Drosophila melanogaster: one gene and its partners. Changing the gene in region 1 together with any one later gene gives a genetic interaction. Each region holds a gene or a part of one and is shown in the gene's direction. Other genes may lie near its edges.

What was found.
Region 2: of aop (region 1) and pan, changing one suppresses a phenotype caused by changing the other (phenotypic suppression), as found in Drosophila melanogaster (2 studies listed by BioGRID).
Region 3: of aop (region 1) and ttk, changing one enhances a phenotype caused by changing the other (phenotypic enhancement), as found in Drosophila melanogaster (3 studies listed by BioGRID).
Region 4: of aop (region 1) and H, changing one suppresses a phenotype caused by changing the other (phenotypic suppression), as found in Drosophila melanogaster (3 studies listed by BioGRID).

The regions. Positions count from the first base shown.
Region 1 is NT_033779.5:2,175,678-2,180,815, reverse strand, and holds the start of aop (anterior open), read left to right. Parts: upstream 1-2,061; 5' UTR 2,062-2,969; intron 2,970-5,138. UniProt on the Drosophila melanogaster protein: Ets-related protein that functions as a negative regulator of photoreceptor development acting antagonistically to pnt and the proneural signal mediated by RAS. It acts upstream of SINA to inhibit R7 development.
Region 2 is NC_004353.4:88,604-93,429, forward strand, and holds the start of pan (pangolin), read left to right. Parts: upstream 1-1,751; 5' UTR 1,752-2,610; coding exon 2,611-4,670; intron 4,671-4,826. UniProt on the Drosophila melanogaster protein: Segment polarity protein. Functions together with arm to transduce the Wingless (Wg) signal in embryos and in developing adult tissues.
Region 3 is NT_033777.3:31,711,921-31,717,091, forward strand, and holds the start of ttk (tramtrack), read left to right. Parts: upstream 1-1,946; 5' UTR 1,947-2,349; intron 2,350-5,171. UniProt on the Drosophila melanogaster protein: Binds to a number of sites in the transcriptional regulatory region of ftz. Isoform beta is required to repress inappropriate segmentation gene transcription and repress genes incompatible with development of photoreceptor cell fates.
Region 4 is NT_033777.3:20,620,276-20,628,218, forward strand, and holds the start of H (hairless), read left to right. Parts: upstream 1-1,662; 5' UTR 1,663-2,220; coding exon 2,221-2,223; exon of another isoform or gene 2,224-2,308; coding exon 2,309-3,023; intron 3,024-3,095; coding exon 3,096-3,269; intron 3,270-3,855; coding exon 3,856-4,616; intron 4,617-4,766; coding exon 4,767-6,318; intron 6,319-6,484; coding exon 6,485-6,513; 3' UTR 6,514-7,943. Other genes in the region: CG5466 (uncharacterized protein), read left to right, coding at 1-80. UniProt on the Drosophila melanogaster protein: Is a potent antagonist of neurogenic gene activity during sensory organ development. The expression of distinct cell fates by the trichogen (shaft) / tormogen (socket) sister cell pair depends on the level of H activity.

The DNA.
Region 1 (5,138 bases):
TCTGATTCTAGAGCACAAGTGGATGCCACTTGGCTGCCGCTGCCTCCGCCTCTGGACATTGGCATTCTATTTTAATGAATTATCTGCACTTAGGCATCGAACTAAGAACTAACAACTAAGAACTAAGAGCTGCGACTATAGCGATCACCCGACAAGTCGGATGGATCTGAATGGAGTGGGAGGTGGCGCAGCAGAGGCGTACTGGTTGCATTGCAATGGCGAAATACAGATGTACAAACGCTGATTGGCTCAATTGGACGACTATTTGAACTCTGACCCCTGTGCGATCCTCATCGGCAGCTCTGCCCCTTCCGCCCCGTCCTCCTCCTCCGCCAGCCACCCTTTCACCCTGGAATTTCCCGATGGGCGACGCACCATGACCGAAGCTACTAATTTGGGCCAGTGATCGTCGCTGCGGCGATCACTTGGAAACGTCGTCATCGCCATCGCAGCTATCGACGGAAAAGATAGCACTTGAAAAAAATATCTCTATTATATTTCTTAATTAGAGTCACAATCTAAAAGTTCTTTAATGTTTCATATCACGAGGCTTACTCGCTAAACTATTTATAGCCATAAAAATACATGTTACTATTTATTACTTACCTAAATGCCCATTAATCTAGATTTTCTTTCAGTGCATACCCACGGAACTGAGCAGGGGCGTGCAGGGCGTGGGCGGGGTCGTCCGGCTGGTCGCCGTTTATGGGCATTTGACTTGAAATGTCAACGTAAACGTTGCTCGTTGCTCGGGGAGAAACTGGTTAGCCAACTGAGGCGACTGGAGACCCCAAAGCGGATGCAGTGCAACTGAGCGCATCTTCAGGCCCACCGACCGACCGACCAACCGACCGTCCAAGCAACCTGACGAGGAACCCCAGCCCCGCCCCCTTTCCAAAGAGATTTTCCGTCGCAGCCGAGCGGAAATGTTCCAACAATTTATAATTAAAGATTGCCAACTGGTTTCCATGAAGATCCAAGATTTATGGGATCGAAAACACCTATCAGCTAGCACCTCCAAACATTTTGTATTACAATAGAGCGCTTTTCCCAGGCGCGTGGCGCTTATTTCATTTTCGGCCAGGGGGTCGTATTCATAATTATTTCAAATGCTTGAGAGCATTATCGCACACTGATTAGAGTTCACGGAATTGTCTTATCTATGGTTTATGTGCAAAAAGCTCGCCAATAGTCACAATTGACAGCTAATGGGTATGGCATGCTCGATCATTTCAAGTTTCCAGTCACAATAGGTGTGTATGTTATCTAGTGAGAGAACGATCCCTTGGTATTTCGGCGCCCATGCTTCTGGTATCAGCATGAATCGTTTGTTTAAACTTTATCTTCTATTGATTAACAACTAAATCGAGCGCCCCACGCGAATTCGACGCCGCCCACAGACAGCGGTTGCCTATTGAGTTGTTTCGTAGTAAACTTTGGTGGGTTTTAAATTATTTAAATTATTACCTCTGCGAGCTGTTGCTTCTTTCGTTGCCAAGGAAGTGGATGGTGGATCTGTAAATGTTTACGCGCCTAATGATTTGTTTGTGGTCTTTGCACACACTCCTACTTCTCAGAGTATAATAACATAATCGAGATTATTATGGCAATTGTGGGGAATCTGGGAATTTTAAAAAATTACGAACATAAAATACGTATGTTAATTGAGATTATTGTGAAATTATTCCGGAATTGGAATTGGAATTTTGTGGCGCATGCAAGTCTCTCAAGCTCTGATATAAGATTGTTTATAAATATTGAAATATAATGAGCAGCTCAGGGGTGTCTTTCAATCGTTAAAACTTTAACTCATATAAGACTGGCGCATCAAAGCTTCACTGTACCTCAAAATATAGGTCCGATTTAAGATATAAATCTTGGACGCTAAAACGGATACGGATCAAAGCGCGACTTCCTTAAAAAATTATCTTATTTTCGTATTCTTCACCAGTTCTTTTTGAATTGTTTTTGCTGTATGTCGCTCTCTTTGCTTCTCTTTCTCTTTCGATTCTCTCTCCGCATGCGCCGACTTGTTCATGTTCGCCGCCTGTTCGAATCGAATCGGCAGTCAAAAAGAAACTGCCGTGCTGGGCGGACGTGTAGAAGAGTCGCTCCTGAAAGCAACTAGACATTCTGCTGTAAATGGCAAACTAATATGTTTTAAATTGATTAATTCACAATTAATAGAATTTAATTCGTGCGCGGCGTTGAGGAAATAAACGGTTCTTCTTAACTCGGTGTGTGTTTACATTGCCCGGTGTGTGTGTGCGCGAAACGGAAATAAAAAATAAACAAGAGCGACAGCAACAACGCCAACAACAACAGCAACATCAGCGAGAGCAAAGCAACGCAACAAGAAGTGCAAGCAAAAGTGAAAAGGAAGACGAAAGAGGAAATGCCAAAGTACAACAACAAATACACGAACAAAACGCCAGAGTGCAAGTGCATCGCGTGAGTGTCTTACAGTGTGCGTGTGCGTTTGTGTGCCCGCGTCTGCCTGTGTGTGCGTGCTGCTGAGGCGGCGGCGGAAGTAAAAACGCTTGACTTCGCCTTCTTCTTATTCATTTGCTCCGCTTTACGGCTGGCATTTGTCGCAGAACGAAGCGAAAACAAAAACAAAAACAGAGAGCCTGGATTAGCCCCAAAAGCACACAACCACCGCCCACGCGGCGCCCCTCACCAAAAGGAAACAGCAACACAAACAACAATGGCAACTTGGCGCGACGCCCTCTTCGTCATCAGCAGATAACAACAAGAACAACATCGAATTAACAGAAACAAAACCAAAAACAAAAATAAAACAAGAAAGCGAAGCAAAAGCTAAAGCATTCTGGGATCTGGACATATCCGCTTCCGCGTTGCTTCTGTCGCTAAAAAGCTCAAGAATCGAATCCGAAGCCCAACGCAAACAGACAAATTCACTCACTCACCTTACAGTACGTAACCACAGTGCACAGTGGAGCAAACAGGTGAGAATTTTGATAATTTGTATACTTTTTGTTGTGAACTGTTAAATTAACCATTGTCAAAATAGTAGCAGAAAAGAGTGTCAAAAATAAAAACATTTTTTCTCAATATGTAAGCACAATGGTTTTTATATCTGGAGTTCTTTTATATTCGTAATCGTGCAAGAATCGGTGTTTACAGACATTACCCCTGTATCACTCCATTGCCGTCGTTGCTTTTTTTTACGAATTGGTTAAAACACCATCTTTTGGTACATGTATTTCCCATAACTACGTCACAATGGTCATGGAAACAGAAAAGTGTCTTGTCTGAGCAGCTGATAAATAATTGCTCCACCTTAATCTGGCTTTGGTTATCTGCTGCATATGACTTCCCCACTTCGCTCCACCCGACGTCTTACAATGTCTGAGTTTTGGTCTCTGGTTGAGGTCAACAATTTGTCGGATCTACACGTGTAAACAGATAACTTGGGCTATATTTGGTTCGCAGTACACTCATATGAGATGGATGAAGACTCGGCAACAACGGTTTATCTAAGGTTTAGTTGATTTATTTGCCTGTTCAGAGGATCTGATTGTGGCGTTTTCATTTGGGGCTTGTTTAAATAATAAGAGTTACAATTTTATGGGGATCTTGGGAGTGGTTTTATAGTTTAATTATTGTTTTGTTATCTGATTGTTGCGCATAATTTGTTGTATGTTCTTCTTGTTTCCAAATATGATTAGATATTTCTTACAGTCTAGTTGGATTGTGATTAATTATTACCTGTGGTTGGTTGAGAACCATATGCAAATACTCATAGCTCAGTCTAGTAACAATATGATATGATAGTAATTTCTCTTCCCAAGCCCAGTGTCTTGACTCTCATTGTATGCACGGTACGCTTCACCGATTCCCTAGCATTCTACAATACGAACAAGATCGATTCACTTGGAAAATAGCCTCTTCTATTTTCACATTCCACTCCACATTACGGTACCTGGGTGCTTTTCGTAATGCCCGTTGCATCATATTGGCCAGGTCCGAGTTTTCCGCCACAAAAATGATGAAAACGGTAATTATCGGAGTGCATATCGGTGTGCTTTGCGCTATATGCTATATGCTATAGAACCGGGCTTTCGGAATCGTTCTTTCTGTTCGGTTCACGAGTCTCTTGTTGCATGCACTTTTCTATGGAAGTGAAGTGAAACAAAAGCGGAGCGTTGAGCTCCAATTAGGGTGACTCCGGCGACTCTGGCAAGCGTCAGCGAAATCTTATCGCAGGGGCGCTATGGCGAAAAGAAATGCCCACACTGTCATAAAAGCGTATGTACATACTTATGTGCATATACATATATGTAGTATGTACATTTAAAAAAAGTAAAACAGCCAGCGGAATTGTGTTTATTTATTTGCTTTTGCCGACCGACGACGTCGAACAAATCAGCCAAACAGTTCCTGCTTCTGCCGCAGCTATAAGGTATATATGTATGTATGTGATTTCAGGGGGTGGCGGTGGGGGGAGCGAACTAGACACACACCTGATCGTGCGCCACCTCCGTTATTTTATTTTTTTGACGAGAGCAGAATTCTCGCCAATAAATTTCATTATGTATAAAACAAACACATGCACTGTTTGGGTCAACTAAATAGCTCCCAAGGAAAAGAATGATTTACTGGTGGTGAAAATTTCACTTCACTTTTAAAATTAAAGTCACTTTTAAAATTTAAAAAAAAAATTGAATGTTCTATTAGCTTTAATATCTTATCGGTAAACACAAAGACCTATTATAAATAAAACGTAAACAATCCCCTAGGCTGGTAAATAATTTTATAACGCAATGTCTTTAAATTAATCTGTCCCTACTTACCTGCTTATGATTGTGCGCACGGATGTATTAAGATTTGTTTCTCAAAAATAAACAGTTTCTCTCTTCAATTAGCGGGAAACGAAATAAAATTTGTAGAAGCTGCGATTTCGCTTGGCTGTTTTCCTTTCCTGGTTCCCCTAGAGACTTGGCCTGGTGACCAGCCGGCGGCAGAAAAGCGGCAAAAGCAGCGTAAATACAATAAATTAAATTCACTTCCGCATTGCTCCCAACAAAAAGAAACAACGTAATGGGGAATGGGTGAATGTGTGCTGTTGTGTGTGTGTGTGTGTGTGTGTGTGTGTGAGGCGAAAGACAAACGAC
Region 2 (4,826 bases), on another chromosome or scaffold:
AGTGTAACTATTATGATTTCGAAACCTAACATTTCTAGGTTTGTTAGTTCCCGGAACTACTCTGCTAGTGATCAGGAACATGTATTCTATATATATATACTAAATATATATATAGTAAATATATATATATAGTAAATATATATATACTAAATATATATGTACTAAATATATATATATATATACTAAATATATCTATTCTAAATGTATATATATACTAAATATATATACTAAGAGAATATATATCGTAAAGGCTTCCATCTAGCTGTTGCATACTTCTATTTTAATTGTTGTTTACTATAAAAGCTAGTAGGTTGATATTCACCGTACAGATCCTAGAGACCAAGACGCAGCGCCACATTGTTGACTCATGTTGCCACGCCCACAAGCCGCACAAAACTTCCACGCCCACACTTTTGAAAAACGTGTTGATATTTTTTTTATTTTATTTAGATTTATTAGTCTTGTAAATTTCTATCGATTTTCAATTTTTGTCACGCTCACTTTAACGCTCTAAAGCCGCCGAACCAGTCACTCCCACGCCTTGGAACAATTTTAAAATTTTTTTTCATTTTACTCCTCAATATCTATTGACATCCCAGAAAAATTATGAAATTTCACATTCACACTAGCTGAGTAACGGGTACCTGATAGTCGGGGAACTCGATTATAGCATTCTCTCTTGCTTTTTTCTTAGGTCGAGTCACTGGACTTTAGAGGCCTTTTTTAAAATGCATGGATTTAAAATGTATTAAAGTAGGTTTTTTATTTGTCTAAAAAACTTCTTTGTGAAAAGCGAAAAATATTTATATATATATATACAAATATATTTTTTGTTGACAACCGAAAATAAACTTTCTTCGAAGACATATTAATACTAACGAACATAATTATGAGCAAGTAAACAGTTGAATTGGCCAATTAAGATTAGTGATAAGAAGTTTTACACATCTTTAATTTAGAATCAACCGATTTTTTCAACCGTTTTCAGTGAATAAATAAATTTCTAATATATATCCTCGAAAAATGTAATTTTCAAGTACTAATTTATAAAAAATATTTTGATAATATTTTTTAAATCAAAATGTTAAATTATTTGCTTTAAGTTAAGGTGGTCTAGAAAATTTAAATTTAACTCAAGCTTAATATAATATTGTTTAGTTTACTGTATTCCGTTGTTGAAGCCCATACATATATATATAAATATATATATTCGTAGATATGATTTGAAATTACATGGCGCCATCTATATCTGAAGGCACTTGAGTTTTGCACGTGTTATGTTGCCAGGTAAAATCCAAAAAATTTAACATACATACACAAAATATGAATAAAATTAAAAAATGGGTTACTTTTAATCTGGAATTACGTATAGAAAAAATGTAAATTAAAGTCAAATTTGAAAAGAGTCGTACCAACATTGGATGCTATGAATATTTTCATGTAAAATATTTGTAAAAATACATCATTTTGCGATTTTACTTGTAAAAATGTAAATTTACGCAGCAGTAAAATTCACATTACACAGAAGTACATATTTTTAAAATACAGATTAAACAACTTTATTATTTCTTAAGAATGAATTAAGAATGAAAAAAAAAACAAATTTAATAGTATCTATTACTTTTTTTTTACAAATTCGTTACAAACATGTGCTCGATACAAAGTTTGTGCGCAATGTTTCTCACGCAGTTATTTTCGAGCCGATGGCTCGTCCTTGTCTCTCTTGTTCCGCGTCGTACACCTTTATCGTTAAGTTTTATTTTTAAAGACCGAAAGAGAGTAAATCAGACAATTGTTGTGGCAGTATATACAATTTTGCGAAAAATCTATCTAAAGGAATCAATGCCTAAAAATAGTTGAACAATTTCCGGAAAGAACAATTTATGAACACAAATGAAAAAAATAATCTTTATTCGATTTGTCCATTAGAACACAAGTAGAATAATAACACGAAGTGTATGATGAAATCGAGTGTTTACATATAAAGTGTATTTATAAATTAAATATAAGTTTTAAAAATAGGATGTCATCTTTTGTTTCCATAATAATACTAATATAGTGTTGATCGATTTAGTAATATAAATATGTCGGAATAAATGGAGATAGTATATAAACCGATTATTGACCATATTAACAGTGAACTAAATAAGTAAAACAATTGTGGCTTCCTCTAACACAATGTGGAAATTACAATTAACAAACAAATAAAACAAAAAAAAATTACGACCTCATATTGCAACAGTCGAGCAACAGGGTAACGTTAATTAAAATGAGATTTCTATATAATTAAAAAAATGAAAACAACGCATGGATTCTGGATTATAACATAAATATTACGCTATCTAAATCTCATTAATATTGCAAGAAAATTTTATAAACAACGAACCCTGTATGAAATGTTGAAAAGTTGTACAATGGTGCTTGAAAAAGTACTAATTTAATTAAATTTGAGTCATCAAGGTGAACTAAGATTCTAAAGGTTAATAGAAATGTTTAAAATTTTGAAATACAATTTATCCAATAAATAATATAAATAAAATATAAAACAAAAAGTTAACGAATGACTAACACCGAACGGATTTTAACAGCAGGCTCCCACAAAATCCGATAATGCCACACTGTGGAACAACTAATAGTGAAATTAATTTAAACTCAAACGAATTAATCAGTTACCAGAAAAAGAAGAGCAATGAGGATCTACAAAAAAAGCACGATAAAAAATGTTCAATCAATTTGAAAACGAGCCAGGTCCCTGATGGTGGGTTCAATAACCAATATACGCAATTAACTGCCAACAAAATAGAACAATATAACTGCAATGATTTGGATAAAGTTTGTATTGTACCATCAAGTAGATCAGACGGAATGGAGGCATCGTTTTCCGAACTTCTTTTAAGTCCGAATAAATTAATTTCTCAGCCTTGGCAAACCGCTGAAGAAATAGAAAATTGGCAAAATGACAGTTTTCGCCAACGAAATGAAATGTTTTCTTGTATATATACGAATAGTATGCTAAATCAGCAGCCATGCTCGCAGCAGCAGCTTTTGGCCACACAACTTTTATACGCTCGGCTTCTTCGGTCTCAGCTAGCTGAACGGGAATTTCATTCGAATAAATTCAACATGGTTCATTATTCGGGATCTAAAAAGACCATGCTTCGAGAAGATGAGCTTCTGTCAACCCCATCTTCGCAGGATAATAATAACAATATTAAGTTAATTAAAGATATCGAAAACAGCATAAGTTGTGTAGATCCCCCTTTGTTTGAATTTTCTAACGTTCATCAAAGAGCAGAACAAAAAAATAAACAAGACGACAAAAATTGTTACTCACCAAAATTAAAATCGAACAAGGAAGCCCTAGATGGGTACGACTTACAACACACGTGTGATTTTATCAGGGAGCAAAAAAACATTCTTATCGACATTAAAAAAAAACTAGATAATCTCTCAGATAGCTCAGGTAAATTTAGGAAAAGGTTAAGTGTACGTCAAAGTCACATTGAAGTAAATAATGGCTCTAATTCAGCCCTTGAGGAAAGTGTAAGACGACAACTAAATGGAAATCGCAAGTCTATTGAAAACTTACTGGAAGAGGTAAAACGATTATATAATCAATGGAGCAGCGCTGAGCTCTATTATGTTCGCAGCTTACAACGATTAGGACTCCCATCAGAGGAAGATGGTGAATATACATCTACACCAACACATACTATCATGGCATTAGCTGCTATAGCACTGTCTAATGAAAGTATTTTGCCACAGAAAACAAATGCAGTGCACTCTAAGATTCCAGATGTTGAAAGTGAGTCCGATTTTTTTTTGACCTCAGCAAAACCTAAAACGTTGGTCGAAATAGAAGATATAATATTACAACTCGCATCATCTGTTAATATGCATCAATCCAGCTCTGCTAGCACCCCTCATGAATCCTACAGTGATAGTGTTAAAAGCGATTGCGAAGAATCAAATTCAGCACCCACTTGCATATGGCATTCGACAAGGCAAACCTTTCGCCACAAAAAAGACGTAGAGCCTTGTAGCACTGCAGCTGAGATTATTTTAGAATATGCTTCATTGTCTTCATCTTCTAACATTGAAACCTCTCGCTTGCTTACATCTGCATCAAATTTAACAGATGTTACAGAAAATTATAATGTCACAACGCAATTGCCTATTGTGTTTAATTACAATCGAGAAAGTTCAGCTGAGTCAATCGTTACCGATCCTCTACTTGTTCCTGAGTTTTCTACTGCACCTTCAACCCCATCGACTGGTAGTAATAGTGGATGCTCTACTGGAATGGTTTCTGGAATTTTCGGGCTAAGTCAAAACCGAAGAAAACAAAGACTTGCAAGGCACATTGAAACTCTGACTACAAATTCTTTTAAATCGAATGCAATAAGGGGAAATGTTGACAACGAAATCACTAATCAGCTGAAAACGTCGCCATCAATTAGAGCATTGCCAACTGAAAATGTTTCCCATTTAATTACTAAGACATTGTCTTCGGCTAATGCATCTTTAACAGCGCAGGAACTTTCCATAACTAACCTGTTTAAAGAGCGCCTATGCGCTTTACAGGGAAATGCCGGATCAATGAAAACTGAAATTTTTCCAATGATAGATGCCCCATACGACTTAAGTATTGGAAGCAAGACAAAACACATGTAATTTTATTTCGCCTTACTTGGTTAAACCCTTTATTTCTTTGTAAAACTGTTGAAGTCGATGCTCACTCCTAATAGTACCTATTTTCTTTAATGAACTGTTGATTATTGCAAGCAGCCTGTAGTTGTAAATTATACAAAAAATGTTGTAAGTTA
Region 3 (5,171 bases), on another chromosome or scaffold:
AGAACAGAACAGTTCTGGGCAGTTCCCCTTCGAGAGAGAGTGCTTAGCCAAGCGGGTATACCAGATACTCGTCCCGTCCACTGACCGTATTTCACGAGGCAATGCAAATTGTCTGGCTACAGAGCGGGGTTAAAAGGGGTGGGCCCTAGGCAACCGAGGGATGCATTTGGATCGCCCTGCTGAATCACTTCAGCGGTGATTCATGCCGAGAATAAACGTAATTGTCTGTGGGCTCCATCGAAATTAGTTTCCAAGCTAATGTAAGCTTGCGAAACAATAAAATGGTGTGCAAGGAAAGATCAATGGAGGGTATGGCGGGTTATGCAAGCCAATTTTTCACCAGTCGTATAACTTGCTCAAAGCTATCCCCATACTACACGCTTTCATAACAGAGGGTCCACATATGTAGATATGTTTAAAACCAAACCTAACTAACCGATTGTACTTAAAGAAAGCGATTAAGGCTTCCATTATCAGCGTATAAAGAGAGAGATAACGGCCTTCCTAGACATGTCTTATCTGTCGCCCAAGTCTGGTCCCTCAATCCTTTTCCACTATCAGCGGTGCCAAAGTCAAAGAACTCCCATATCTATGCCAGATATATAATCTTAGATGCGGGGAACTGTTGCCGTTTCCCAAGAACACGCATTGATTGACGGTCTTTCCCATGCATGCCTAATGATCCTTCAAATGGGCCCTAATAACGACCAGCCCCCCTTGGGATCGGATCAGGTAACGCCCCGTCCCGGGGGTTACCCAAAAAGCGACACGCTCCCAAGACCCATCAGGCAGTTGACCAGTGGGTTACGTGTGCCATCGTGCACAGCAAAACTAGTGTATAAAGTTTATATTATCTAAGGTAGCGATATTTTCTAAAACGTAAAGAAACAATTACGTTGCAAACAATTCTCTCAGTGCAGGGCAACCCCAGCAACAATTATTCAACTTAAAGTCGGTGCAGCGGGGAAAACATGGAATCATTTCGGTTTCAGTTAGAAGTGTGCGCGAGCGTTCTCGAAAGGGGCGCTGGGGGGCGGGGCAGTCGGTGGGAGGTTGAGCGAATAAGAGAGTCGAGCATACGAGGCACGCTTTTCCGATCAAACCAGTTTGTCGTAATAGCTGGCATTTGGAATTAGTTACTGCCGATATATTGCTGCACTTGGAATGCGCCCAGATAGAAATTCCCGCACCACGCCCCTCGGCGACGATCCTCCCCTTTGAATAGAGAGTTGACTATTTTTAGCGGGCACCAGAACTTCATTAAAATACAATCAATTTGCAAGTGCAGCGCGGAGAAAATAACAAACAAGCACCAGCCACCCACTCTCTCTTTCTCCTCTCTCTCCCCCCCCCCCTCTCTCACACTCTTCCATACTCCGGTGTTCCCAAAGAGAGCGGAGAGATGGCATTTATGCTGAGCAGGCACAAGCAGAGAGGTGAAGATGGGACTGAAGAAGAAGCAGCCGCTGTGTCGGCAGAATGAAAACGAGGACGACCAAACTGCATTGTTGTCATATTTCGTAATACGCTGATGCAGCAGAGAAGCGAAGGGGTGGTGGGCGCAGAGGTGGAGCAGCAGGTCACGGCGGTGAGAGAGAGCGAGAGCGCAGGAGACTTGTTTTCAACACCAGCTTATCAGCGGGAGAGCGCGAGAAGAAAGAGCATAAGGGCAGAGCGCCAACGCAGCGGCGAAATGGAAATGTCAAGTTGGGACTGCGCTCTCCCTCGCTCTCGCTGCCAGCAGCGGCTGCGCTGTTCTCTTAACCATTTGGAGCCCCATTCAAATGTTCGATTCTTGCCATTCCATTTCGTCCGCTCATCCGTCCACATCCACTTGCGTTTTTGGTGCCCTGCGAGCGGGAGAGCAATGTGAAACGGGAGCACTACAAATACCGCCCACTACCACTACCAATTCCCATACTCCCATATTCCATGCTATTCCCAGCTCAGTTCGTGCCGTGTGATCAAAGCTTTCGGTAAGGCTTCGGCTCGGCTTTGTGTATCCACCTTAGCGGCTCTCTGTGGTGCTCGTTCTGCCTCTCTCTCTCTCTCGGTTTTGGGGCTCAGCTCAGGGACAACAAATGCGGTAAAATGGCTTCTGCGTCGACGTCGACATCCCTGCCGTTTCAGTTCTGATTGGAGGTTCGTGCGCGGCGTTTCCTCAGCTGATTTCTTTGCCTTTTGCCTTTTCGCAACCCGCTTTCGGCTCCGTGTTCGCCTCGGTTGCCAATTACGTGTAACCAACAACAAGAGAAGAAACAGAAACAACAACAAGTACTTTCGAGTGTTGCAAGCCTTCTTCCGCCGAAGAAACCGCAAAACGGATTACCAAGAATATTTGTAAAATTGGTAAGTGGTGAGATTATCCACGAAATAGTCTTCGAAAAAGGTCAAATCATCAAGTGTTCAAATTTAAACGACAAGTTTAAGTATTCTTATTACCTTCTTAAGACTTATCTTGAATCTCAGATGAGGATTTTATTGATTAAGATTCAAAAGTTCTTTAACTGGCTTTTGTTTCTGGAGTCCGTAGTGATTTTTTTAAAGATTTGAATGTTCACTGAATTATATTTTTGGATTAGAATCTAATCACTTTAAACAGGACATCGCAGGAGTCGAAAACAATTGATGACAAAATCAGCAGTTAATAGCTTTTGGATTACAGAATTATAGCAATAAAAGCCTGACAAATTGGCCAAGGGTCGTTTTGGAAATCTAGCAGTCTTAAAAGCCTAGCAGATACATTTTCTTCTAACAATTTCCCGCTCACACGCTCAGTACATGCACCAACACACGCCTATTGGAAAGACGCTTTTGTATCCAACTTATACAGATAGTGGTACAGCCACAGATACAAATGCACACATGCCGTATACGGCACATGGGGAGTAATGCCGCCACACTAGATACCAGATACTAGATACATAGATTCGTCCGCCGCTTATTTGTCGGTCGTGCTTCAGTGATCTCTGTCATTTGCAGTTGCCCATTTCCTTTTTTATCCCCCACTTCCACATCCAGTCGTCATTCGCCCGGCGCACCCCTTTTGATCACTCTTCCAGTTCCAGTGCCTTCTGGTGGCTTCCAGTGGCTGCAACACTTGCGGTGTTTTTCTGAATGAACCAATGGAGTGAATGTGTGAATGAGTAATCCATGTACGCAACATGTTTGCACTGCACAAATTATTTGGACTCAATGTATTGATTGTGTAACTCGGCTTTACGTTTATTTAATCGCAATAACTAAAGTGAGCTACAACTCTATACGTTGGTTACTATTCTTGGGAGGAAGGAAACCTGACAACCCTGGCCAAGGGGCAACTCTACACTTGCACCTGTGCTCCACGCTAAGCCACAAATTCAATTATGCAAATCAAGATCACAGCCCAAAAAACACAATCTTCGTCTCCGATCTGCATTTGTCTTTGTATGTTATGTTTATTTGTTACTTCTGTCGTTGTTTTTAATTCGCTAACCCACTTCACACAGTGGCAGCAACAACAAAAATCGTGAATTATACTTTGTATTGGGGCGAAAAGGAAACGAATGCCCAGTCTCAGATCACACATAAATTTTGCGGTTGTTTTGTTAATGAAACGACAAGAGCAGCACTATGCGCTCTTTACTATATATTTCCCGCTCTCCGCGAAAGCTTTTCTGTTTGTTTGCCCCACACACACAAAGACACTTGTGAACACCTTGCGCTCACTTAACATTATGCTCGAATTATAACTGTTGTTTAGCCGGCGATCGAAACGGTTAAAGCAGCAATGAAAGAGGGAAAAGAGAAAGAGGATGACATGACTAACAACGCAAACGCGATCTGAACATATGCATTGTTGTTTTCGCTCGTAGAAACCCATAAAAAGTCGAAACAGTAAAAGTCCAAGCGGCGTATACGCAATATCAGCGGGGGATAGGAAAAGGCAGAACTCTCTTATCTATTCTTCTCTCACTCTCCCTTAAGTACACAGGGCAAGAAATGTTAAAACATTTTTAACAAATAATGATTGAAATAATACAGGAAATTTTTCCGGTGCATTGGTTTAGTGCACGTGACTCTTTCACAAATTCTACTTAAATGTATCTGCCATCTTGCGCCGATTTCCTGCCCCTTTTTCGTATTCAACAATTATTCGGAACCAAATTTGCACAATACATTCCTTGATTATTGTTATTTAAAATGATTTTATATTTATTTATTTCATTCGCAAGTGCCAGCTGCCATGCTAAATAAATGTCTGTTGTGCGCGGTTTCCCCGTGTATATTCATGTGGTATACCTTTTCATCCACACGATACTCCTTTTCATATTCTGGGGCTTGTGGCATTACAAGTAAATGAAATTTTTCTTGAATGCATTTCTGATTTGAATCACCTTCGCGGAGAACGCCAGGTATTTCGCTTTCGGGGTTCTGCTGCCCCGATTGCCCATCCTGATAGCATACAAGTCGCGCGTGTACCCCATATATCTCCTTTTTTAATTAGCAATCTGCACAAAAACTCCGACTACTGCAAAAACCTAAATTCAAAAGTGGAACACAAACAAAAAACGCTCAAAAGTCAGCAAAAAAATGAGGAATCAACGAAAAATACAAGAAACAGAAAAGGTCAGTGACCAAAATATGTTTTGTAACTCAGGCAGAAATCTTCGCGAAAAGAGAATGGGCCGAAAAAAGCTAAGCAAAAGACGGAAACCAGAAGGCAGCAGTGGTAACCCTCCAGATATAGTTACAGTTGCCCAAAGATCATAAATTTTTACTTACATGGATATCAAAGATTCATAATAAATTTAAAGAACAATTACCAAATAAAACCTAATGTTATTTCTTAAGGATTTCTAGTAATTTCCGGACCCCAAACACGTAGTTAGGCTTATTTCACAATTTCCGCCTGCTGGCTGAAATTAAATATTTTTTTTACCGTTTTAAGCCTTTTGCAGGCCTTACAAGCATACATACGCATGCACTATAATTCAATTAACGACGTCGACGCCGCTGCCGGCGCAGCTCAATGTCCGCGTCAAGTATACGCCCTGTGGTGCCTGAAAAACTGAAGAACTCAAAAATCACTCACCCACACAATCGGCGGTGGATGTGTTCATCTGCCAGCCGTTTCCTATTTTGCATTCTTCAACGAATGGCAGCCACAAAAGCGAATTTCAAAAAGGAGA
Region 4 (7,943 bases), on another chromosome or scaffold:
GCGCGGGAGTAGGAGTGGGTGTCCCTGCAGGACTTAACCTGGGCGCCGCCTTGGGTCTGCCATCGGGCAACATGCACTAGATGCGGGCTGGAGCTCATCGGGTAGCATGCAATAGCTCCGGATTTATCCACTCACATTCTTCCAGCAGTTAGAGAACACTTAGTACTTACACGCAGAGAAAAGCATAGATGATAGGCATAGCAATTTACCCTCGTAGGCGTGGCTCCAGTTTTCCTTTTAGCAATTACGTGCCATGTTCAACACAAGACTTGATTTCACATTTTCCACATTTGACTGACCTTTAGGCATACATATGTATCGAATCCCGCGGCTTGAATTTGATTCCCATCACTCTTTGTTTTCCAGTTTGGCATGCAAAATTATGAAGCAAATCGGCAAATTAGTTAAACAATTGGCAAAACGTCTGTGATATTTGAATTATGTTGGCAAACGGAAGACAAAACTAAATTTAATTTATTACGTTGTGTGCCCTCTGTTGTAATGTCTTACTTTTTACTTTGTGCAATATCTACTAAGCATATATTCTTAGCCGTTCTCGTGCAATCGACGACTTTTCGCCCATATCAAAAGCAACTCGAATGTAGCCTATACTTAAACTAACCTACTGATAATCGGACATGATAGACGCGTAAGACTTACATTATATTTTGCATTAGGACTTCAGAGTATCTGAATAACAATTGGCGGATGGCCGCGGTGGCGAAAGCGACATTACGAGTTGTGTTTAAATTTAAGAAGCTGAAGAAGGGTTGTACTCCGCATGCAAGGGCTATTTAAATATATATTTTAACCCGCCCGAGCTCACCATTACCAGAAATTCGATAAACGAGCAAACAGTATTATACGCAATAAAAAGACACCTGCAACCATAAGTATTTACCTAGCTGATGTGTGGGAATTTATCGTAACATACCATATTATCGCTTAATGTTTAACTTCTGGACTTAATAATAAATAAATATTTTATTCTACGACAAAGAAGAACTTTTCAATGTAACATTATTAACTGCTTTAAGTCATATCCTTAAACTTTCGCCTTGAAAATCTTTAAAACCCTACAGGTATTCCAAATTAATAATCTCAGGTGCTAGAAATTTAATTAATATATTTTGGAAACAGCATAAATTAGTGAAAATACAACATTGTTTTAATCAAACATTTTTAAAAGCATGTTTTCGGTTGCAAAGTTTTCCAATTTCAATCCTGAAATTAAAGTTGAGTTGAACAATTGCTATAAAAAGCGACCATTTATTACGTTTTATAAACTGTCCCGATTGTGATTTTAGTTGTTTATTTTATTTCATATTTAAAACCGTTACTATTTTAAAAATCGTTCGCTAAAGATTGTGCTTTTAAGCATTGATAACTATCGCTAATTGCCAGAATTCGTAATCTTATTTGACTTGAATTGTAAAAATATAGGATTTAGGATTTTTACCAAATAGATGTAGTTCAAAGAACACAATTCTTTTTATTATTAAGCATTTTATTTTGGGAGTTCCTTGCACTAGCTTTTTGCAGCGACCTGTGTGTAAGCTTACATTGAGATAACATTAATGTGAACGTGCAGCGAATGCAGCACTATAACATTGGCCAGTGGAAACATGATATTTGCTAGCATGCTGACTGGCGCCGTGGATTTTGACGTTCTTAGTTGACGGTCACACAGCGCACCGAGCTGCGTTTTTCGTTGATAATTTTTAAATTTATTTATTAGTTTATTGGTTGGAAATAGAGCTGCCCCCAACTGCCCGCTGACCACGGAATTATCGGTCCGGTCCACCGACCTCCGCTTTCACACACTATTCGGCAATCGATATATACGCTGACGGTAATTGGAGAACGTTTTTTCCATTTTATCTCCACCTTGTCCGCACTTCGTTTTGTGCTCTCTTTGTGCGCTGCCTCCGCTTAACATTTGGGCCTGTAAGAAACACATATAAGCAGAACGGCCCGCCGTGTGTGCCTGTGAAATTGGTTAAATAACGTACAGTGGAATGGGCCAATGGCCAAAATGCAATAAGAATATGTGTGTGCAATAAAAATAGGGAACGGTACCGTGCCCCAAAACATGAAAATGGTGCTAGACGCTCCTAACGCCGTGCCGAGCTGGCATATTTTGCTTAGCGACGCCGTCGGCTCCGTTTTTCCCGGCCGCGAACTTTGCGCGAGGAATTTACAACAAAAACAATGAATTAAATGGTATTTAAATTGTCCATATAATGCGGTTTGGAAATGCGAAATTGTGCCTAACTTGCCCAATGCAAACGAATGTTTCTCTTTGAAGGCCCTGCTTAATGACGTCACAAGCGTAGCAGAGTGCAACAGACAGACAACAATGACCGATGAGCATAAAAGTAACATTAACAGTAACAGCAGTCACTCCAGCAACAACAACAACAACGGCAGCAGCAGCAATAACGACAACAACAGCAACGACGACGCAGCAAGTAGCAGCAACAGCAAAAACAACAACACCAGCAACGAGAGCAGCCACAGCAACAACAATACTAGTAGCATAATTGCAGAGGCGGCCGCCAAGTTTCTACTGAAAAATGGCCTAAACGGCAGTAGCAGCACCAGCTACCCCCCTCTGCCACCGCCTCTGCCCGCCAACTTAAGCAGGACGACCACGCCCACGACAACGACAACGCCCTCATCCTCCAGCTCCACCGCCTCAAATGGCTTTTTGCCGCATGCCAAGACGCCCAAAAGTAGTAGCATTATGGCTGCGTCCGCCGCAGTGGCAGCCAGCGTCGTTGGAGCTACTGCGTCCAAGCCCACCATCGATGTCCTGGGGGGCGTCCTGGACTACAGTTCCTTGGGCGGAGCTGCAACAGGCTCACTGCCCACCACTGCAGTAGTAGCGGCGGCAGCGGGAACAGCGAAGATCGGCAAGGGAAGCAACTCCGGCGGAAGCTTTGATATGGGCAGGACACCAATATCGACGCACGGCAACAACAGCTGGGGCGGCTACGGTGGTCGTTTGCAGTTCTTTAAAGGTAAGTATCTTGGTTTATTTATACCGAATCAGAGCAGTGTAAAGAAAACCATTTTTTAACTATTCTGCGTAGATGGCAAATTCATATTGGAACTGGCGCGGTCCAAGGATGGCGATAAAAGCGGCTGGGTTTCGGTCACGCGCAAGACCTTCCGCCCTCCATCGGCGGCCACCTCCGCAACTGTGACCCCAACGTCGGCGGTGACCACAGCGTATCCAAAGAACGAGAATTCCACATCGCTGAGCTGTACGTAACACATGGCATAGTAGTTCCCAACGGATTACCCCTTCCATTTAATTACTTGACCCGATTGGAATCAGATTTGAGTAAAAGGAATTGGATTTTGAAACATGTGTAGATAGCTAGCTTAATCCGAGCGGTCAAAGCTTACAAACACTTGCAGTTATAAAAAACATGTGCCTATTTGACTTAAATTGTTCTAATGGCACGTAGAGGATAAAGTCCAATTTCGAAAACAAAAAATCTGTAAAAAACGACCGCACCTATGTTCAAATCTCTGATCTATTTTAAAACTGTATATATCGGCCATCTCTAATATTATATTTAAAATCTACGAAAATGTCAAACGTTTTAATGAAATAGTAAGAAAAAACCAAACTGTTCAGAATCGGTCATGTTCTTTGTATGACAGTTTTCCAATTCGATCCTATAAAATATAATGTCCTCCCATCCTTGTATACATTTAAATCCTATTTCATAAATTGTTAACAATCTGAATCAAACAAAAGCAAATATTTATTTATGCCAAACTATAATTAACTACTACAATTTGTCTATGTATACCTTGCGTTAATATTCCTCTTCATTGCAGTTTCGGACGACAACAGCTCGATACAATCCTCTCCTTGGCAGCGAGACCAGCCCTGGAAACAGTCCCGACCCAGGCGCGGCATATCTAAGGAGCTGTCGCTCTTCTTCCACCGCCCCAGGAACAGTACGCTTGGCCGAGCTGCTCTCCGGACAGCCGCTCGCAAACGACGGCGCCCCCACGAGCCGCTTACCACCAGCGAGGATCAGCAGCCCATTTTTGCGACGGCAATCAAGGCGGAAAATGGAGACGATACTCTTAAAGCAGAAGCTGCAGAGGCCGTTGAAATTGAAAATGTTGCTGTGGCGGACACAACCACAAATGAGATTAAAATTGAAAAACCGGACACGATCAAAGGCGAGGATGATGCTGAACGGCTCGAAAAGGAGCCGAAGAAGGCGGTTAGCGATGATAGCGAGTCAAAAGAAGCATCGCCCGGTCAGCAAGTGGAACCACAACCAAAAGATGAGACTGTTGATGTTGAGATGAAGATGAATACGAGCGAGGATGAGGAACCCATGACAGAGCTGCCCAGAATCACGAATGCCGTAAATGGTGATCTAAACGGCGATCTAAAGGCGAGCATTGGGAAACCAAAATCCAAGCCGAAGCCAAAAGCCAAGCTCAGCAGCATCATTCAGAAACTCATCGATAGCGTACCAGCACGGCTTGAGCAAATGTCGAAGACATCAGCTGTGATCGCATCGACAACGACGTCTTCAGATCGCATTGGTGGCGGTCTAAGTCACGCCTTGACGCACAAAGTAAGTTTTACTTGGCACAACCTGCATAAGCTGCGGTTTCAAATGTTAATCATGTACTGCAACATTTTTATTATGTTAAAGTTGTAAATCTAGTTAGGGACTTTCATAAAGAAAAAACTTTGAATTGACCACTTAAATATCTTCTTTTAGGTTTCTCCACCCTCTTCTGCGACAGCAGCCGGACGACTAGTCGAGTACCACACCCAGCACGTGTCGCCCAGGAAAAGAATCCTGCGCGAGTTCGAAAAGGTGTCGCTAGAGGACAACGGATGCGTAAACAACGGCAGCGGTGGAGCTAGTAGCGGTGGTGCTGGAGGAAAACGGAGTCGAGCAAAGGGAACTTCGACATCGTCTCCGGCTGGCAAGGCGTCACCAATGAACTTGGCGCCACCCCAAGGAAAGCCAAGCCCCAGTCCCGGCTCCAGCTCATCCAGCACTTCGCCAGCGACCTTGTCAACGCAGCCAACGCGGCTCAACAGCTCTTACAGTATCCACTCCCTGCTAGGTGGGAGCAGTGGCAGCGGTAGCTCATCCTTCTCCTCCTCTGGCAAGAAGTGCGGCGATCACCCGGCAGCTATTATCAGCAATGTGCACCATCCACAGCACTCAATGTACCAACCCAGTTCCTCGAGCTATCCACGCGCCCTGCTCACCTCGCCAAAGTCGCCCGATGTGAGTGGCAGCAATGGCGGGGGCGGAAAATCGCCCTCGCATACAGGAACCAAGAAGCGTTCGCCACCGTACTCGGCGGGATCACCCGTAGACTATGGCCACTCCTTCTACAGGGATCCCTATGCGGGAGCAGGTCGTCCTTCCACATCGGGCTCAGCATCGCAGGACCTGTCGCCACCGCGCTCTTCCCCAGCATCGCCAGCCACGACGCCGCGTACTGTGCCCAAAAAGACTGCATCGATCCGACGCGAGTTCGCTTCACCGTCGGCCAGCAGCAGTAGCTGTCCCTCGCCCGGCGACCGGAGTGCATCGCCCCCGGAACGGCGGCACATGCAGCAGCAGCCGCACCTACAGCGTAGCTCGCCGCTGCACTACTATATGTACCCGCCACCGCCCCAGGTGAACGGGAACGGCTCGGCCGGAAGTCCGACCTCGGCGCCGCCCACGTCGAACAGCAGTGCAGCTGCAGTAGCGGCGGCAGCAGCGGCCGCAGCCGCATACATTCCCTCGCCTTCGATATACAACCCGTACATATCCACACTGGCGGCGTTGAGGCACAATCCGCTGTGGATGCACCACTATCAGACAGGAGCGTCGCCCCTGCTGTCGCCACATCCACAACCCGGTGGCTCAGCGGCCGCCGCTGCTGCAGCTGCTGCTGCGAGATTATCGCCCCAATCGGCCTATCACGCGTTCGCGTATAACGGAGTGGGAGCGGCTGTTGCCGCTGCAGCAGCTGCGGCAGCCTTTGGACAACCGGCGCCCAGTCCCCACACGCATCCGCACTTGGCCCATCCGCACCAGCATCCGCACCCGGCTGCACTGACCACCCACCACTCTCCCGCTCACCTGGCCACGCCAAAACTGACTGATAGTAGTACCGACCAAATGTCTGCAACGTCCAGTCATCGCACAGCCTCCACTTCGCCGAGCAGCTCGAGCGCATCGGCCTCCTCCTCGGCGGCCACTTCGGGCGCCAGCTCCTCCGCAATGTTTCATACTAGTAGTCTAAGGAATGAACAAAGTTCAGGTAAGCATTCAATCAGTGCACCAATAATGGCAAGCAGTTTGATGATTCAATTTTCATTCCTCTGGGAATGTCTGAAGAAAATATATTACAGATCCATTTATTATGTTGTCAATTTAATGCACGTAAAACACAATTTAATAACGTTTCTTATTTATTTCTTCCTTAGACTTACCACTGAATCTGTCAAAGCACTGAGACATACACACGCCCCAGCTGCCCCAGTTTCTGGGCCAACCATTCGAGTTAAGAACATTTTCGCACTAGTAGCGCTTAAGACGACATTCAATACACGTAATATAATTTGATAAGTTCGCTGATAGTTTAGTTGTAACCCGATTGTTTAATCCTAAGCCTAATCCTAGGTTCTCAATTAGGGCCGAACATTTAGAAATCGCATACAAAAAGAGATGAAAAACTCAACTTTGTTTTTAAACCCGTTCCAGAACTCTTTATACAATCAGTTGAGAAATTTTATTTTCGACAAACTGAATAAAATATGCAAAGGAATTTTATTCTATGCCGACTAATGGAAAGAAATACTAATAAAAACATTTTCTATAGGATGTATAAAATGCAAGTCTTAAAGAATCTCAAAAAAGAGTTACGTTTTTTTCATCAAAACATTTCCTTGAAACAGACTGAACCTGAATTTTTTTAGAAAAAAAAAATGAAAAACTTAGTTACGAATCGCAAAATATAACATTTTAAAGTATATTTAACAAAACTACAAGAACAGATTTTTATAAAATGCTTGTGCCTTTAAAAATGGAAACAGAACTAGGGATACAAAAATTAATATTAAAAAGAAAAAGAAGTTTACTATAAAAACATTTATGTGCAAGCATGTGCAGGTATTCTATGGTGAAAACTTTAGAATTTCTTGATATCGTGGTCCAAAATGCAGTTGACAGGAATTTGCACTAAGCAGATTGTATACGACACCAACTTTTTAAGTACTTTTAAAAATGTATCTTTTAATTATTTCGGAATAATTATTCTAAAATAGTTAAAAGATAAAAGCAATCCAAAACTATACAACTCGTCTGTACTTCAAAACGAAAGAGATTACTCTTTGGTCTTACATTTTTTGGTAGACTGTAAAAACTAAAATTCGAAAAAATTGTTGAAGTTTGAATTTAAATCCTCGGCGGATCTAAATTTAACCTCCACGATTGTTGTCACCATCAAAAATATTATATAACTGTGCCTAGTGCACATTCGCTGTCAGTGGCTGTCCAATCAAAAACAAATAAAATGTACAAAAAATCCACATATACGACAAATTTACAAGAAACGGAAAGCAAAAAGATCCTAAGCAGACAATTTCAAACCGGAACTCGTACAACTGAAACTGATACAAATAAAAAACATATTCCTAACGCAAAAAGACAAAAACAAAACGCGGTTTCTCATATTTTCTAAATTATTTATATAAATCAAATGTCTATTTATATTTACTGATATGATAATGTGTAAGTAAATAGGTGTAATTGTAAATACAGTATTTTTACACAACAAAAAGTTAATCAATACGCGAGAAATAACCAATATATTTAATATAACTATTTTTATAACGGATTTTAACAAGTAACTGTATATTTTGTATCTGATTACGCAGAATAAAA